Cricetulus griseus: one gene and its partner. The protein of the gene in region 2 interacts with the protein of the main gene of each other region in a biochemical or structural test. Links are inferred from orthologs where the notes say so. Each region holds a gene or a part of one and is shown on either strand. Other genes may lie near its edges. The genes, in order: S100a11 and Anxa1.

The links.
Region 1: the proteins of Anxa1 (region 2) and S100a11 form a complex in vitro, tested with the Homo sapiens proteins (2 studies listed by BioGRID). The link is inferred for Cricetulus griseus from reciprocal best matches to the Homo sapiens genes ANXA1 and S100A11.

Annotation. Positions count from the first base shown.
Region 1 is NW_023276806.1:62,510,889-62,515,313, reverse strand, and holds the start of S100a11 (protein S100-A11), read left to right. Parts: upstream 1-1,592; 5' UTR 1,593-1,746; intron 1,747-4,425. UniProt on the Homo sapiens protein: Facilitates the differentiation and the cornification of keratinocytes.
Region 2 is NC_048596.1:40,891,068-40,894,886, reverse strand, and holds part of Anxa1 (annexin A1), read right to left. Parts: intron 2,893-3,819; coding exon 2,813-2,892; intron 2,178-2,812; coding exon 2,121-2,177; intron 391-2,120; coding exon 297-390; intron 1-296. UniProt on the Homo sapiens protein: Plays important roles in the innate immune response as effector of glucocorticoid-mediated responses and regulator of the inflammatory process. Has anti-inflammatory activity.

The DNA of each region.
Region 1 (4,425 bases), on a different chromosome or scaffold from region 2:
CAGAAGTTTGGTTTATATAAAGTACTAGTAGGACACTTTGTTACTTTTATTGTTTCATGTTTTGCTCTGAAGTAAGCAGTTGATCAGAACTGCACATCAGGAAAATGTGTTTTTATATTGATTAAATGTTTCTTTTTTTTTTATTGGAGGGCAAGGGTCCAGTTACAAAATAAAAGAAAAAAAGGGAGTGGGAATGTAAACTAGATCAGTGTGGTAGTATAATTATGGGTGGGTCCAAGTACAATAAAGCTGACATTACAAGGGCTTTGATTTAAAAAAAAATGTGTAAGAAAGACTTAAAAGAAAACACTGTGGTAGTGTTTTCAAGTAAGGAAAATGGAAAAATAGCCACATTGTTGGCAGAAATGGAGAAGTGAGGGTGGGGGGAGGGAAATCTAATTATTTCTTAAATTATTGAGGTTCAAACACAGGTGGGGCTTTCGAGTATGTTTCTTTTAGTTTGGATTTTAATTTTCTTTTGAGACAAGGACCTACTCTGTAACCTAGGTTGGTCTGGAACTCACTATGTAGCCCACAAGCTGCCCTCAGACTTTCAGCAGTTCTCCTGCCTCTGCCTTGCAAGTGCTGAGAATACAGGCAAGAGCCACCATGTCTGACTTGTTTAATGGGGTTCTAAACAAGGGCCAGAAGCTGTGAGGGTGAGTACAGATGAAACTGGAGAAGAGGATTTGGTCTCCTGTACCCAGGAGTCAATAGCAGAAGCTGGCAGTGAATAGACACTAGGGCATATTCACACAGAGCTCCATTTGCGTCTACGCTGCAGATTCTGGAGTCCCTGCAAAGACTTCACTCTGTGACAGTCCTAAAAGTTTACTAAATAGTAAAGATGACACGACTTGTTTCTAGATAAGGAAATGGAAGCTCAGAGGGGAGAGCAGTCTTGACAAAAGTACTGCAGTGGCGTTATGGACCGAAGATTAGAAGCCAGATGTGCTTCACTCAATCCCCAACTTCACTGAAATGCCGGCAGGCAAATGCCTCACTAGCCCAGGCCAATGTTTAGCTGTAATAGTTTGGTTATTTTCATTTTTCTGTTTTGTTAACTGCCATTTTAAAGCCTGAGAGCCCAATGAAAATTATCTCTAGACAATAATCATCAATATTCTGCTGGCAATAACCATTACAGTCAGGTAGGCCAGGAGGTGCATACCTGTAAATCCAGCACTTGGGAAGCCGTGGTAGGAGGGTCCTAAGTTCGAGGCCAGCCCTTGCTACACAAAGTCAAAATCAATCTCAGCTACATAGGAAGACCTTGTCTCAAAAAAAAAAAAAAAAATTAAAACCACCACTGTTCATTAAATATCTTCAGTGTAATAGAATAGACAGCCCGGATCCTAGAGCCCTCCTTGACAACTATGATCCATTCTTCTTTTTAACGGAACCATTCAGCTTATCTAACCTGAAGTGCAAATGGTCCCAGACCGGAAATGAGCTAGGCATATGGACAGACTTTCCCCAAAGCCAACGATCTTTGAGATTCACAGGAGAGAGGGAGAGAGGCCTGTTGAGTGTCAGGGAGGACAACTGGTGTGTTGTGTGCCTGTGCGTGAATCTAGGCAAAGCGAGTTCGAACGCAGTGGGACAGGCCTAGGCCTGCAGAGGGGAGGGGTGGGGGAGGGCCCGGCCTGAGTCAGTCTGAGGGGCGGGACCCGGACCCTGATCGCCACTCCTGTCCCTGCTGTCATCAGCCACAGTCACCGCTCGACTTTGCTCCTCACCAATTTGGTAAGTCTAACTTATAAAGATTTTTTTTTCTTCCGTTTCAATGAAAAGAACAAAGGGCAAAGCTACGCGTGCTCTCGGCCGGGTGTATCTGAGACTAAGTGTGGACGTGGCAGAAAACAGATCAGGAAGAAGAAACCGTGTGGGAGGCAATTAGAGAAGAGCGGAGGGCACCGCGAAGCCCTAAAATTACACCCTAATGACAGCCTGGAGGAAGAAACGGGGACTTTTGTTCACCTAGGCAAGATGCAGGGTAGGGCTGGGTGCGGCCGCCGGACTGGCCTCGGAGCCCGGGCTGGGTGTGGCCCCCGGGGTCGCTGAGACTTGCGCCCCTGTACCCAGTGGGCGGCGGGGACTTCGGCCGAGCCACCTATTCCGGGAAGGCAGGGCACTCCGCCGGAGAGCTGGAGATCTGGGAGAAGTTCTGGCGGCGGCGTCAGGCGTTCGTGCAGATCAGAAAGTGAGCAGTTCAGAACTTATTCTTATTCCCGAGTTCTCATTCCTGAGTTCTGGGGAATCAGCTGCGGAAGCCGCGGGCAAGGGGCCAAGGAACACATACGTGCACCGAAACTGCAGCCTGTTGCAGCTGCCCGCGGAACCGCCGGCAAGAATGTGGGAGGAGGCCAGTCCCTCCCAGCCCGCTCCTTTCCTCTTCCCCTTACTCACCCCCCCCCCCCGCCATCTTTTTAGCCACTCCCGGCATCACCTGCCTGTCTCCTCGTTTGTCTGTCTGACTTTTCCACTAATTCACCCGTAAAGTCTACTTCCCTTTGTCTCTGCAATGAAGAAGCTCAGCAAACTTTGGAGAGTGGTCCTAGTCCCAAACTAAGCATAGATTTTGGTTTTTAAATGGTTGGAAGACGAAAGGCAAATGATCCCTTGTGATACATGAAAATCAAATGTATAAATTTTATAGGCACTCCACACCCTTTCACTTTTTGTATTTTGTTACTCTTGGTGCTGGGCTACAGTGAATGACAGGACCTTATGGAGCATAAAGAGCTCAAAGTAGTCACAGCTGCCCCTTTATTTTAAAAGAAAAAAGTTTGCAGACCCCTGCTTTGGCGTGCCAATCTCTTATTTTCCTTCTTCCCCTTTTCGTCACACAGGGTGCCTTGGGTCCAGCACCCACGGGTTGAGAGGTGGAGGAAGAGTGTTGGCTTTGGTTAAGAACGAAAGAGTTAACTGGTGTGGTTACCTTTTTCCCATATCCCCATCACAGGGAGGCTTTCCTGCAATGTTGAATGTTTAGGGTGCATTTAAAAATTCTTTGACTGTGTCCTTCCATCGCGTGTTTCCCTCCTTGCAGTCACTGGTCCCATCATGTAAAACGGTGGTGTGGTGAGGGCCCTTTCTTTCAGCCACTGCTACACAGGGGCAAAACCTTCCCACCCTAGCAATACATTCTGCAAAATATGGGGGAAGGAAGCATCTGTAGGTGTGGAAAACACAGAGCTGGGCCCATCAGCCTGGAACCTTCTCCCCAGTCTAGTGTGTGCCCCAAGCCAAACTTCTGCGATCACATGACACACTAGTAATAAGGTATTGAGATTTTAGTTCTGATAGGAGGGGCATGTTGTGCAAGCACTTGTTTCTAGGCTGTGATGTTTTGTTTTGCTTTGTTTCTCTAGGCCTTGAACCTACCAACACTTTTATCTTCTTCAGTTAAAGCTTCCTGTCAGGCAGCTTAAGTCTCCAACATTGTGACTGTTTAAAAAGGATTTATCTCCAGAAGGTTCAGGTGAACATTCCTAGGTGCAGCGGGCTACAGCAGTGCAACTTTGAGGGTAAAGTGCCTAAAGACAGGAGGTGCTAGGAGCAGAAACCAGGGGCTACAGGCCGGCTAGCTTTTGTCATCTTTATCACACTGCCTGAAAGCTCCCAGATTTCATATCCAAGAAGCCCATCAGAGAGAAATCAAAGGCTAAATTCTAAGTTGCAATTGTTAACATCCATCCAAATCATAATTAATTAACATCAAGAAGGAAGCTTCAGGGTGTGGCCCAGCAGCTTCCAAGAAATCCTGCAATTGTGCACTCATCCACCAGGGGGAGCACAACAGTTCAATTCTGAGTTCTGGGCTCAGATTTTCCTGTGCAGTCCTGCACAGAATGAGTGGTGCAACCCAGTAAGATTTCCTTTAGGAATTCTGCTGTGAGAAAAGCAGAGTCCTGCACAGGATATGAACTGATGCTCTTTCTGGTGCAACCACATATTTGGTTCAGCTCTGTAATAAGAAATTCCAGCTACCATTCCTGTGGAAATGCGTGGCATTTGGATGAAACAAAGGCAGATGTCAACAGAAAGAAACCTGGGAGCCGAGAACCTGGGGGTAATCTGCCATGATAGTTACCCTCTTGTGCCTCAGTTCTGCACAACTAAGTTAATGGTATATAGTTGTCAGCTTCACACTCACACACACACACACACACAGAGAGAGAGAGAGAGAGAGAGAGAGAGAGAGAGAGAGAGAGAGAGAGAGAGAGAGAATTATTTGTGATTTTACTAGGTAGCCCAGGAACCCAAACTCTTGATCCTTCAAGCATATGTATCCTCACATGTAGTTGAATATACTTTGGCACATCTAAAATCCACCCCCTACCTGCCAGTGCACAATTACAGATATGCTGTTCATTTTCTTCAAAGAAATGCCTGGTTTCAAGAGTTTGGCATTAATTTAAT
Region 2 (3,819 bases):
TTCTTTTTTCTCTCATTCATTATGTTTTATTTGTATTTCTTGTTGTGACTACTCCAAAACTTTGAAAGAACAGGAATAGTGGAAATAAGTGATGTTGTCCATGCCAAAGTCACAAAGTGTGTTCTCAGTAGTGTGGACTGTGGCAGTTCAAAGCTGACAAATGGGCACATAACAGTGAGTGTTATTGCATCCATTTGATATGGAAAGACCTCTTTCTTCCCTTCCTCTTACTTCTCCTCCATAAGGAACTTTGGACCTTCCGTAAACATATTCCAGAAAAACGAACTTCTTGTTACCTTTGCGAAGATGAGATTTGCTTCTAGTAGTCAGAATTGTAATGAACACATTCGTATCTGTCCCCTTTCTCCTCTCTCCAGCCTCATACAAAGCCTATCAAGAAATGAATAAGTAAACATGTGACCATGCATTGAAATGACAAACAAAAATTATTATATTTAACAAAGGTTATATAAATAATTATGTTGTACTTAATACTATCAGAGTAGGCATCCCTGGGGTTGGCCCTTCTTGAAAGTGAAGACAATAAAGTCAGCAGTATAGTTCAAAGTGCTTTGTAAACATGATAAACAGAAGATATGGGATATCTGTTTGCTTTAAAATTACTCTGTTTACAAAGACAACTCAAAGAACTCATTAAAACAGATTTCCTTTTTCTACTTTTTATTGCTCAAAGAAATTATTAGCTTTGAGTTTCCATTTAGTTTGATGTTGGCTATTGGTTTGGTGTGTATTGTGTTTAGATATGTTCCTGTTATTCCTGTTCTCACCAAGATCTTTATCATGAAGGGATGTTGGATTTTGTCAAAGACTTTTTCGGCATCTAGTGAGATGATGATGTGGTTTTTCTTTTTCAGTTTGTTTATATGGTGGATTACATTGATGAATTTTCGTATGTTGAACCATCCTTGCATCCCTGGGATGAAGCCCATTAGCAAAAAATATCAATAAATATTTTTTTTGTTCTTTTAAGACAGGGTTTCTCTGTGTAGTTTTGTAGAACAGGCTGGCCTAGAACTCACAGAGATCTGCCTGCCTCTGCCTTCAGAGTGCTGGGCCTAAAGGTGAGTGCTACCACTGTCCAGTTAATACATAAAAATTTAATCACTGCCTAGGTCTTATATTTTCTTCCTATATCCTCAGATTTATTTGCTACTGAAGGATATGCCATTTTGATGCTATTATTTCTGTACACAAGTTTCAAATCTGAAATTTGAAAGCTGTATAATCTTAGGAAGTAATTTAAATACAGTTATTCCTCCTTTATGAACGAAGATAGTAATCCCTACCTTTTGGTTATAAGTATCTTCTACTAACTCTAAAACATTTGTTGGTTTCTCCAGACAGGATTTCTCTGGTAGCATTGGCTGTCCTAGAATTTGCTCTGTAGACCAGGCTGACCTTGAACTCAAAGTATTCAACCACCTTTGCCTCCCAAGTTGCTAATATTAAAGGTATGTACCATCACCATAACCTCAAACTTTAATTTGCTTTGGTAATGCTGAGTCATACTAATCATGTAGTCTCTGTAAATATACATCAAGGAGCCCTAGTAGTCTGGAAAGAGAATGCATAGACATGATAAGAATAATTTTATTGTAGGCAATTATGCATAATTATTGTTTTTATATGTTTGCACAATTTCTATTAAAACATAATGTTCAATGTGTTTCTTGATTTCACTTTACTCAGCAAAAATTTCCTTTCCCAGCTGGGCATGATGGTGAATGTCTCTAGTGCCAGCAATTGAGATACTGAGGACAGAGGATCTCAAATTGTGGCAACTTATAGCACAAAGGGGTTGGGCTTACATATAGCTATCTTCTTATTAAGTCAAAACTTGGGGTTTTCTCCACCCAACAGGTTTTGGGAAAGAGACAGAATCTCATTGTTCTTTCAGTCATCTCTGGCTTTCTAAACAATAAGATAAATTGGAAACATAAAGACTATATTTTCCATTCCAGGGATATAAGACTCTGTTTCTAATGAAATAAACATTAAGTAATAATTGTCTTCTCACAGGACCTGAGATGTGCTTCCACATAGTGGGAGCAAGAAGGTAGGAAGACTTGCTTCATTGATAATGTCTCCCCTTTGCTTACCCTGGCATCTGTGTCAGCCAAATCTTGATTCACACTCAAATCCTCACAGCGGTCACCCTGAAAAATGCCCAACATGTTTTAAGATTTTCTGTAGGATGTAATCACTAGATACACTTAATTCTCTTAAAACAAGACATAACTTTTGAGGAAAAACAGTGAAAACAATATCTATAATTTGCAGCAAAGTTGCTGGGAGGAACAGAAGCAAGACAGAACAAAGCAACTTTGTATGAATTCATTTAGATGTGCTTCCTAAAACACCTGAATTCATAGATGCAGACTACACATTGATGATGACCAGAGATGGTAGGATGGGGAACAAAAGGTTGGAGGATACTGATAAAAGGACACAGTCTCTAATAGATAAGAGGAGTACATTGTGGTATTACAACATAGTAAGATGAACATAATCAAAACACAGTGAGTGTTTTTAAATGACTAGAAAATAAACTTCAAACATCTCACTGAAAAAGTGGTAGGAAGTGAGATTATGAAGTTTTTATATTGCTAATTTTACATCATATATATATACGTATATATATATATATGTCTCATTATTTCCTCAAATACTTACAAGTATTATTCATCAATGAAGCAGTATTAATTTTAAAGGAAAGAGATTCTCATTCCTAGAAAATGCTCACAATTCTAAGGTTTTATTATTTATAATAGCAAAGACATTTAACCCATACCTTGGCAAGAGAAAGCAAGGCCTTCCGGAAGTCTCCAGAAGTATCCGAAGTGATGTCTTTGGCCAGATCTCTCTTTAGCTCTACAAGAAGAGAAAATAATTTTTTCAGTTAACTATTGGAAAACAACGGTGTCTGCATTAGCTTATAGTTTACAAGATTGAATGACTCATGTAACTTATCTCAAAACATTTTTGTGAAACTGGAGAAACTAGAGCAGCAGAAATTTTAGGCTATAAAATAATTTTTTATAGATCAATGGAAGAAAACTGAATAATACTCTAAATGAAAAGTTAGTAATAAATATTTGCTAACAAGAATGAATACTTTACCAAATCATTTTGAAATACAATATGTGAAAATTTGAAAAATGTTACTTGCTTGAACACTGGCTATTTATTTACCTTAAAATTATAAATATTCAATATATAATATGTTCAATGGCATGTGAGCTCATTTATTTAAAACTTGTGTCTACAGACATCATTTGGCTATAAAATATGGTGCTTTAGTAGGAAAAATAACTGAATTTACAAACAAAGCAAAAACAGCACCTTAAGCTATTTCTGGACCAAATCTTCAGGATTTTAGAGAAATGTGGATGTAAGGCTTTGTAAACTGCATTTTATCTAACACATTAACAATTATTTCTCTTGAATTATTATTACCAGGAAATGGATCTAAGACACTGGGGTAAGAATTACAGAAAATGTGGTCATATTTTGACTAATGTACTAAAGTGAGAACAATGTGCAATGTTGTTGTTCCCTGAGTACTTGGTAAGAGGGTCAGACACAAAGATGTTTCATGTGCTCACATATTAGTTTAACAAAACAGAAAGCCAATAGCTCAGAGGAACTAGAAAATCACCAGAGATGTGGAGCTGTCCCCTGTGCAGTAAGGACTGAGTCATTTGACTGAAGGCCTCACTGCCCAATGAGCCACTGATAGTCTTTTATGCCAAGTATCTATCTAAGCACAGAGAAAGAAGAACTGGATCATTTATGTCC